Mus musculus: one gene and its partners. The protein of the gene in region 2 purifies or fractionates together with the protein of the main gene of each other region. This does not show direct contact. Links are inferred from orthologs where the notes say so. Each region holds a gene or a part of one and is shown on either strand. Other genes may lie near its edges.

What was found.
Region 1: the proteins of Nap1l1 (region 2) and Nap1l5 purify together in Homo sapiens (affinity purification with mass spectrometry; 3 studies listed by BioGRID and IntAct, counting the BioPlex papers as one, with this or other methods). This does not show direct contact. The link is inferred for Mus musculus from reciprocal best matches to the Homo sapiens genes NAP1L1 and NAP1L5.
Region 3: the proteins of Nap1l1 (region 2) and Maged2 purify together in Homo sapiens (affinity purification with mass spectrometry; 4 studies listed by BioGRID and IntAct, counting the BioPlex papers as one, with this or other methods). This does not show direct contact. The link is inferred for Mus musculus from reciprocal best matches to the Homo sapiens genes NAP1L1 and MAGED2.

What each region holds. Positions count from the first base shown.
Region 1 is NC_000072.6:58,904,614-58,908,554, forward strand, and holds Nap1l5 (nucleosome assembly protein 1-like 5), read right to left. Parts: upstream 2,514-3,941; 5' UTR 2,355-2,513; coding exon 1,884-2,354; 3' UTR 620-1,883; downstream 1-619.
Region 2 is NC_000076.6:111,493,602-111,497,255, reverse strand, and holds part of Nap1l1 (nucleosome assembly protein 1-like 1), read right to left. Parts: intron 3,086-3,654; coding exon 2,963-3,085; intron 2,462-2,962; coding exon 2,432-2,461; intron 2,206-2,431; exon of another isoform or gene 1,932-2,205; coding exon 1,881-1,931; intron 1,217-1,880; coding exon 1,181-1,216; 3' UTR 1,151-1,180; exon of another isoform or gene 503-1,150; 3' UTR 1-502. UniProt on the Homo sapiens protein: Histone chaperone that plays a role in the nuclear import of H2A-H2B and nucleosome assembly.
Region 3 is NC_000086.7:150,808,542-150,811,407, forward strand, and holds part of Maged2 (melanoma-associated antigen D2), read right to left. Parts: intron 2,642-2,866; coding exon 2,333-2,641; intron 2,204-2,332; coding exon 2,140-2,203; intron 1,883-2,139; coding exon 1,803-1,882; intron 1,257-1,802; coding exon 1,162-1,256; intron 786-1,161; coding exon 706-785; intron 612-705; coding exon 569-611; intron 243-568; coding exon 180-242; intron 1-179. UniProt on the Homo sapiens protein: Regulates the expression, localization to the plasma membrane and function of the sodium chloride cotransporters SLC12A1 and SLC12A3, two key components of salt reabsorption in the distal renal tubule.

The DNA of each region.
Region 1 (3,941 bases), on a different chromosome or scaffold from region 2:
ATTAAAATAGTGATTATGATGATATATATATAAAATATACACCTTCAGTTGTATTGGTCTTGCCGCAAGGAAGATTACCACTACCTTAGTGTTGTTCAGAGCCATCTGTTGTCATTAGCAACAGGTTAGCACTGCCCCCCTTCCCCAACGTCATCAGATTTTGCTGCAGTGTGATTAACCCTTGCAGCAAATGGAAAAGAATGGCGTCTGATTATTTTTTGGTTTGTTTGTGCATGTGTGTGTGTGCATTCATATTGTCACATTAAAATCTTACCTTGTCTAAGAGGAAATTAAAACTTGGCTTTATATGGAGGAAACTAAAACAAGATAGTTTTTGAATGTCCTATATTTCTAAATTACAAGCCATATTCTTTTCTGATAACAAGGAATCACCAAGTTAGAAATTAATAATGCTACCATTTTCTGTTGTGTAGCAGGGGAGGGAGTTGAATTTTCTATCTGGGTCTTTTGTCTTTATTAAAACAATAATAGCTGGAAATTATTCCTAGGTGTCAGACGCTGCTGTGTGGGCTGTAAGCGTAGTTACTCACTTTCTCTTCATAATAACTGCGAGGAAGGGATTGTTCCCACCCACTTTTATAGATGACAGTACAGGTAGTCAGAATAACAAGGATTTTTTTATTTTTGAAAATACTGTTTTGTTAACACCACAGTGGTAAACAACTTTAAGTTTGTGTTTCTTTACAGAACATTGGTTCACAGACAACTCAAAACCCACAAAGAAGCTAGAGGCCTTTACATTAAATGTCTTTTCCCTTCCTTTATGCCCGTCTGTCCTCAAGCAATAAAATTTAATTTTGCACCATTTATTAAGTCACATTTACATAGCAAAATAATGAAGGCACAGCTAATACAAGCAAACTTAAACCCTTTCTATTTCTGAGCTGGGGTTGGGGGTACACACTTGGGTTTGTTCTTCAAGTATATACTTTTTCCAAACATTAGCTTCATTGAGGAGTTCTGATGGTTTTCACAGCTACTTGCTAAAAGCTACAAGACAAAAAGACTTCACAAAGGTCAAACTAGGCAACACTGGATACACATGCTTTACAGAATTGCTACATTCTACATCTCTTCAAGTAAATTATATTTCTAAAATGCTATAAGGTAATTTAACACTTTAAAACATTTGGGGTAATTTTTTACGATTTTGTAAACAAACACTACCAAGAAAACAGGTAACACGGGACCATAACAGATGAACACGTGTTGACAATATTATACATGGAATACACCCTCATTTTTGAAACCATGTTCTTTCTGTAAATGCAAATATTTAAAACATTTTTTCACAACTTGAAATGGCAGTTTTCCTAGCCACATAATCAGTAAATGCTGTCAGTCCAGGCTTGCTCCATGCCAAGGCTCCTCTGGAGTGTAAAGCTGATGTCTGGGTTTGCAAAAGCAAAAGTCTTAAAGATGACGTCGTTCCTGGGTTCCTTTTCCTCTGCGCTGGAAAATGTAAAGAAACTGAAGAATTAAGCATTGAGAAGAGTTCTGTCTTAGCTTGGATGTTCTGGTGTAGTGTGATGAATGGATTTCAACGTGTGACGCACTTTTAATTCCCATCTAACTGACAACCTTTCAACAGTCTCAAGTCCAGTTCTCACAGAAGAGCAGGGAGAAAAAAAAAAGTTTAATTAGGCTTTTTTTTTTTTCTAAAAAACGTCTTTTAGCATCTGTTTTACACAAATAAAAGTCAGATTAGAAACGGGCTAGCCAGAATCTACTTGATTCAATTTAATTTTAGGAATGTCAGAATAGATTCACATTTTATTTTGGGCAAATCCTGAGCCTTTTAAAGTCTGCCGACATTGGAAATAAAAGGGGCAGGGGATTTATCACCTGTCAGCTTGCTGTGCTCACTTCTTGGCGAAGTTGGGACCCCCAGTTGCGCCAGCTGCAGCCTCTTCTTCCTCCTCCTCCTCCTCGTCGTCCTCTTCCTCGTCATCTTCATCATCCTCTCCCTCCAGGGTCCACGCGCAGCCCTCCATCTCTCCGGTGAGCTCCTGGATCTTGGCGAGCAGGGGCTTGTAGATATCGTTGTACTTCTTCTCCAGAGCCTGGAATTCCTTGTCAAACTTGGCCTCGATCTTATCGCAGCGCTTCTGCAGCTTTTTGAGCGCCAGAACCCGGCATTTCACGGAATTGGGCAAGCTCTCCATAAAGTCTTTTTTGGGCTTGGGCGCGTTCTCCGCGGGGGCCTGGGGCTCCTCGGCCGCGGGAGCAGCGGCACTGTCACCGGTCGCGGCATCTTCGCCACCCTGGGCGCCTTCCATTACCTCGTCCTCGGCGCGGCTCTCAGCGGGTCCCTGCTTCTCGGGGTCGGCCATGGCTACTGCTCGGCTCAGCTGGGCTTGTTTGCCGCAGTGGTCTGGTGGTTGCGCAGTCTGCAATAGAGCTGGTCCAGAGAGGTCCTGCAGCTGTGATTGCGGCTGGTCCAGAGTGCGTCTGAAGATGCGGCAAACGCTGACGGCTGTGGTGACGTCCGCGCGGCCGCTTCGCGGCTCGCGGCAAGTGAATGGCTGCTCACTATCAGCTGATGGTTGTGCGCACACACTGCACCAAATTGTTGCTATGCTGCTATCTCCGAGGTCTCTAAAACCTGCCACTTAGACACCCAGCCCTCAGCATCCGCCCCCACCCCTGCAGAACTGGCTGGAACCAGCTCGAGGCTGAGACTGTATTTTTCCATACCTGTTTATACACCCCCCCCCCCCAATCTGTTTACTGTGTGCTCCCCCTCCCATCTTAGTTCTCCAAATCCGCAATGCACCTGACAATCTTTGTTGAAAGTGCGCCATAGCTAATGTTGGTAAGCCTTGGTTATGGGTACATTTCCAAGCCTGACTGCGTCTTAAATTCACTTTCAGAGAACAGAAATGCAGGAGAACCATTTTCCTTCACCTTTGCAGACCCACAGTGCGTGCCTGTATCTGCGCAGACCATCTTTGGCTCTTAGAGCACAGTTAGACATCTCTGTTAAACCTATATCCTCGTGGCAAATTGTTCCGGGAGGGACCTTGGCATTGATTCTGTAAGTGTTTGTGTGGCAAATTTCTGCGCTGTGAGCATTCTAGTAGGTTTCACACAATTGCCTCTGAAAAGAAATAAAGTGAGGGTGAACAGAAGAAATGCAAAGCCCTAGAAGTGTCCAACCGTGTGACATTGTGAAAAGATGCTGTCATGTATAGATGTGTAGGGCCCAATTCAGTTTTTGGGTGGAGGCACACTGCTTCCAGTTAGCAGATTAAACATGCCCATAAAGGCTGGGGAAAAGAGGTCATTTTAATACATCTTGAAATGCGTGTTTGATCCTACACTTCCTTAGGGACCCACAGATGCTTCTACAGTCATTTGTCACCAAACACTTCACAGTTAACCATCTGTTGTTTGAATCTGCTTGTAATTTGTATGTGAGAGCTTTGGAAAAGACCATAAACATCAAAGTCTTGTTTTCTAATAATGAAGTGATCTTTTATTTTTTTCCCCATATAAGCCAGAATTAGAGAGTTATTTGTTTTGTTTATCTATCTATTTATTTATTTATTTAGCTGGTCCAGTCTAGCTTTAAACTATGTGAACTCCAGGTCCTTCCTGCCTCCTTAGAGCTTCTAGAATAAAGAGCAGGGCACAACTTTTAAGTGGTTCCTAGAGGATACATTCATTACCTATTTAGATCTGTCTTTCTCTGTGGTGGGTCTTGCCAGAGTTTTATGCATATGAATTTCATAAGAAATTTCTCTCTTTTACTTCTTACGTGTATTAACTTAATTGTATGTAAACCATTTAGTGCTGACATGGAGTAAGCACTGAATATTTTTAAAGTAAAATTACTGTATTAAAAACAAATACTTTTGTCCCTCTGATGAAAGAAAGTGAAATATACAAAATACCTTTTTAACGTACTTCTGAGTCCT
Region 2 (3,654 bases):
TAGAGGCCCAATTTTTTGAGCATTTTGCAAGTAAGACTGAGAGTTTGTGAGATATACCCCAATATGCCTTAACAGAGTTGAGGTAGTTGAATCAACAGTCCCACCCATTCTTGGTTATGCACAGTAAATAAACAGCATGGCTCCCGACACTCCTCATCCTCCTGAGGACAGAATAAACAAAGTCCAAACAAAGGTTTCAGTTCTAACAAGCACAACTGTACCTTTCTGCTCAAACTAGAGCATATCACTTTTTTTAAAGCACGTGTGTATTAGCTCCTCCAGCGTTGTTCAATATAGAAAACTAGGCACCCCTGAATTCCAACTAACCCTCTGCAATAGCCTCAATCAGTACAAACCGAGACAGCATCCCATGAGAGCTAAAACTGTGTCATATTTTTATTTTAGGCTATAAAAACAAAATTAGGCAAACAAACAACAGAAAAACTCAAAATAGGTTCATATGATGTATATTCATCTTTTCCAGGAAAGCAGAAGGTAGGCCCTACCACAAAGAAAAGATTTAATTAATGGAGGTTAATTTTCAAAATACATTAAATACTATCAACTTCAAGAGAACCTAGGGTTTGTTCACCTTGCTATAAACGAGTTGACTTTTGTTTATATCATCGAAAACATAAAAATGCTTTCATAATCTCAGTTATTAAGTTTGATCTTACTGGAAATTCTTAACGACAATTTTCCTCCCTCAAATGATGTCACCGTGCCCTGTGCATCCCTCTAACAACATGAGGGAAATGATGTCACCGTGCCCTGTGCATCCCTCTAACAAGATGAGGGAAAACACAGCTAATGCAGGCGGACTTCAACCTGTTCTATTAGCTGAAAACAACTTTGGTTCTTTAGGAAAGAAACAGCTACTCCAAGTATGTTCAACAGTTGGTTTTCATAATTGTATTCCAATAGCTAAATGATGAAAATACTCCAGAAGAACCAAACTGCAGCAATAAATGAACATGCATTAGAGAGGATGTATGCATTAACGTATCTGACAGAGCTAGAGCTAGGGTGCTAGGTAGAACAAACTCGTCTTTCAAATATCAATCTCCTTTCCCTTAAAAACTTACTGATTCTACCAAGAAAATACAAAACCATAAGGCTGTAAGTAAATGAGTCATGTTTAGGCTATTACAGGGCGGCCGTCCTCAAGGCCAGTCACTGCTCACTGCTGCTTGCACTCGGCTGGGTTCTGATCCTTCTGTTAAAGGAAAACAACACGTCAATCTATCTTCTACCGACTGTGATGCATTTTTTACACAAGTACTTTAGTTATCATAATATCTTGTAAAAAAAATTACAGTGAAGGCAGAAAATACAGGATAGTGACAAACTAATGCTCAAAGTCACTGAAGTGTACATTAATGAAGCATTACTTCCTGGGATAGCCTATAACCTCAAAACAACCACTGATTATAGTGACACTAATTAATTCATATCTATCAAAATAGCTTACTCTGAACTTCCCTTCTACATGCTTAAAGTATCTTCCCAGTGTTTTACAGCAAATGGTAGATGAACAAAATAAAGGAAATTTTAGGTTTCGAATGAATCCTGGAGATTATTACAAACTTTGAAGAGACAATGTTTTACTAACCCTAAAATTCCAAGAATTATAAACTGGGACCTTTAGGAATCAAATAATTTTAATAGTCGTTGGAGAATCCAAAGTTCAAAGCATTTCTGCCTCCAGACTTGTTTTAGCTAATTAATTACAACTTTCCTTTGTGTGGAAAACAATCTAAGCAACAGGTTTAATTCTTTAAAAAGGTCAAATCCCAAATAAGAGCAAGTAAAGAGAGGATCTGTCTCATCTACGCCTACTCTAGTGTGAGGCAGAGGGAGGCCAGCACAGTTCTGCTCACCTTTGGGTCATAGTCTGGATCGTTTTCCTCATCTCCTTCTTCTTCCCCTTCCTATATTAAAGTTCAAAATGCATCCATGAAGTAGGTACATACTAGAAAAATTGGCTCATAATGTATGGAAATTTTATACAAGTTACTCTATGGGTCAACAGATTTTCATGATTACAGAGTTTGTTGATAATACAATTTAATTTCAAAGCTTCTAATATGAAAAATTTCCCAACACAACTTGAGACATCCAGACAGCTTTTATTGAAAAGATTTACTGCAGCCAACGTTGGAAAAGTTTACTGCAGCTTTTGACTTCTTCAAAGAGCTGATAACCCTGCAGCAGAACAAAATTATTTGAAATAAAAAAAAAAAATGTTGCTGAGTTTTGCAATTTATTTATTGAAACCTTATACATACATTGTTTGGCTGTAGAATTCTAAAATCATAGTTTCCAAAATTTATCCCAAATCACAGAATGATTATAAGGAATACATTAATCACTCATTTTTGTTCCTCAATGTGTTATACAGTGAATTATTTGCTCATTTGGTAAACATTACCTCGTCAGCTTCTTCACCTTCTTCATCATACTGAAAAGACAAGTGAAAGTGTGAGTGAGAAAAAGTCAGCAAGCACAGATTATTAACACCCACCATCTGAACACTAAAATGTATTACAAAGACCTGAGCAGAAATGCTCTCAGTGCTCTCAGTTACCAAGCTCTGTGCCAGCTACAGGCTACAACATCTCCCTACCCTTTCTTTGCAGACTCTGTATTACCCGTATAAATGCTGCCATGAACATAAGAGTTCTGGTTGTTTCATGACAATGACATCAAAATAAACTAAACATAAAGGTAACCACGTTTTAGTAATTCAGAATCATTCTTCTAACAGAAAAACAAAACCCAACTTTAAATGAAACTATCCTAAAGAAGTCTTCTTCAAATTTGCTGAGAAAAGCGAAAAGCTGTCCAAGGGCTTAGCGGCACCATGAGCCCTGTATGTCCTACTACAGCCAACCTAGCCTCTTCCCAATTCTGACTGTGGCACCCGACAAAAGGCTCCACTGCAGGACTTAAATGCACTCACATCATCGTCATCGTCCTCGATAGCCTCTCCAGTGAAGTACAGCACTGATCTTGGGATTATGCGCTCACGTAAAAAGTGACCAATTTCAAAGTCTGCAGCCAGTATCGCCTCAGCATCATCATCCTATCAGAGGGAATTGTCAGTCAGTCAGCTTGTGACAAAGCTCCAATCCTGCCTACTTGCCACTTATCAAGTAAGCCATCTAAAACTGCTGGATTTGCATGCTGTTAATACCTAATACCTAACAATAAGCCAGCAGGCCAGCATATACACCGAGAAAAACTGCAGTACATAGAAGTTAGGACTGGTTATCATCTAAGACTTTGCGATTAAAGAGAAAAACATAAAAGAAACCCTGCTACACGAAGGCATTCCTTTGGAAATAACAGATATGGCTAGGAAGATGGCTCAGCAGGTTAATAAGGTTCAGAGATTTAACAGCATTGTCTGCTCTCGAAGAAGAGCCAGGTTCAGTTCCCAGCATCCACAAAACCAGAGAACCATTCCAGAGGATGCTGTCCTCTTCTGACTTGTACGGACATCAGTCACACAAATGGAACATACATACATGCTGGCAAACACTACCACGCATCAAGCAATGCTGAGTCTTTAGCAGGTATGGTAGGCCGTGCCTTTAAGCCCAGTGCCTGGGGAAGGAGAGGCAGGTGGATCTGAGCTCAAGACCAACCAAT
Region 3 (2,866 bases), on a different chromosome or scaffold from region 2:
CCCCTCCCTCACAGAGGTGTTCTAAAACCACGTATGAAACAGAAATCTATGACTGCACCCAGAAAGAACCTGCCACTGGCCTATACACATGCACCCATGCAAACATATGCTTGGGGCACGTCCATTATCAAAATAGACAAAATGCAAGGTAGAGTCCAACAGCAGACAACGACACTTACTTCTGCTTCACAAACTCATCAGTAATGAGTTTCTTCACATCTCCAAAGAGTGAGTGATGAATCCTGGGAATATAGAAAGCTCAAATAAACAAATAAATATAATCAGATCTGGTACACTTCCCAGATGATGGCAGAGGCATTTAATTCCAAGACAGAAAAGAGATTTACAGCACAGAGAAAGCTCCATGGAAGCTCAAGAGATGGTTGAGAGAGTGAGCAGAGACAAGAGCCATTTCCCCATCCACACGGGTCAAAATCTTGGGCCCACTACCCAGCCCAGAATCCCCACCCCCAGCTCCACCAGACCACCAGGCTGATGCAATCCTGGGAGCGTCCTCTCTTGCCAAAAGACAACACGGACAGCAAGCGCTGAGAGAGCCCAATCATACCCAGGGCGCAGCCCCAACTTGCGCAGCACCTCCCAGATGACAGCTGCAAGAGGAGGCAAGAAGGAGACAAAGACAGAAATTGAGCATCTGGAATTCAGGCAACAGCTACCTATTCAACTGCATGCCCATCCACTCACCCTCACTGGACCGATTTCCATTCATGAAGATGATGCTAAGAAGCACCATGAGGAGGCCCAGCTTAGGTGAGTCCTTGGTCCTAAGATAAAGAAAGTTTACGTTCATGAGCCATCATCTGTAAAGCAGCTTGCTAGGCTGCCCTCTCCTAGATCCCTCAGATACAGAGAATTCAGCCTACTCTATGGTCCCAGCCTGACCTAAGGCAGGATGCATTCCCTCTTGAGCCAAGCTCTCTACACACCAAAATGCTACTCCTACATAGGGTTAGGACATGGAAGGATGCCTGTCAACCCAAGCAAGTCTAATACCACTACTACCCACAGGGATCCAGCGTGTGTGGGAGTGGGGACAGGGGTGTTTAGTCCTTCTTTCCTGAGCTTCTAATAGGCCATGGAGAGAGGGATGGATGGGTGGAAGCAGAGGCCCATTCCCACCCTAGCACTTTCCCGGCTTACGTTCCCAATATGCCTGCATCAGTTGGCTCTAAGGTACTGAGAAGAATATACAAGTGGTCATTCTTGTCAATTTCTTTCAATTGGATTCCAAATACCTATGGATAGGAAGAAAAACTTATAAAATCATAAAATTCAGCTTCCAGGGCTTCTGTAGTTTCTTTTATAGCTAAGGGTTTTCTGCACATGTGAATGTGTGTGTTTGTGTGTGTGTGTGTGTGTGTGTGTGTGTGTGTGTGTGTCTGTGTGTGTCTGTGTGTGAAAGAAAGTAATGGACTATTGTATATAAAGCACATAGTTATGTGCTATTTATACACATAACAAACATAGGGTGGTTATCCATAGCATCTTTGTAATCAGGGGGAATTTAGGGAGACAGAGGGGTGAGCATCTGCAACACATGAGATGGTGTATCCAGCAGCAGGCAGAAGCCAGGACTAAGCTGCACAGCTTTAGCACTAGCTGTGTTTCCACAGCTGACTTGCTGTGTGGTCAGTGGCTGCCCCTCCCTAGGCCACCATGTGCTCAACTCTACAGTGATGAGGATGCAGTAGGTCTCTGCTTTCCTCCAGGAGGGTGCTCATATGCCTTTCTTCTGTTTAAAGCTTCCCCAGTGCACCCATCCCCCAGGGCTGTCCCTTCACCTTCTCCAAGGAATAGCCTGCTCGTTCAATGATTTCAGGGTATACATCAGTATATTCTTTGATGATGTCCTTCAGCATATCTGCAAATGAGAGTGTTGCAAGCATCTGTGCTGTAGAGATACCAGGTAACCCTGATGCCCAATCAACAGACCCTTTGTTGTCCAAGCCATGGGTGGCAGAACCAAGTTGTGGGGGGGCTTTTCAATAGAGATCCCACTGTTAGGAGAACTTTGTGAAAAGGGACAGGCGCGTGAGAATGAAGGCTGTCCCCAGCACACTGGTGAGAAGACAAGAGAAGGCAGAGCTCAGGAGAGAGCACGTGTTTGTAGGACTCTACCTGAGCGTCTGATGGGAATCTTTGTCTGGTCTTTAGCCAACAGGTACTTCACCAAGTCATTTGCCTAGGAGAAAGAAAAATGATGAAAAGACCAAAACAAAAAAAAACAAAACACAGAAAACTCCAAAGCACAACAGAGAAGACATCAGGCAACACAATTGAAAAGGTGAGACGTAGAGGGTGGAGTCCATACCCTTCCTTGTAAAAGGGCCACATCTCTGGGTGGGGGTGCCTCAGGTTCCTGGGATGACTGTAGCTTCGCAGCTCTTCTTCGGGCCTTGCCTCTGCGAGCTCTAGGTGACCTCAGGGAGAGCAAAGCTCTCCGAGCCCAGGCAGCCAACCGAGTCCTTGATGCCCTGCGGGCCCAAAAGGCTATGGGTCCCCTTGAAGCTCTGCGAGCCATGGAGGCCATTAGGGCCTTTGAGACCCTTCGACCACCTGTGGCTTCTGAAGCCTGACTCTGGTCACTGTTGCCATCCTCTTCTCCATCCGGGTGTTTCCCCTGCATCGAAAGAGGGGAAGGTCAATATCAGCAAGTGGTGCAGGTGGCTCTTTCTCTTAACTCAGTCTCTTCTGGAAAGCACACCCAACGCTGTCTCTTCTAGGATACATCCCCACAACCCTGCCCTTGTAGTAAGACTCTGCCTCACTGGACACTAGCCATCCTGAGTCATGGGCTTATCACTGACTACCAGTTGGGAATTTCCTCCCTGAGTGGATCAGGAAC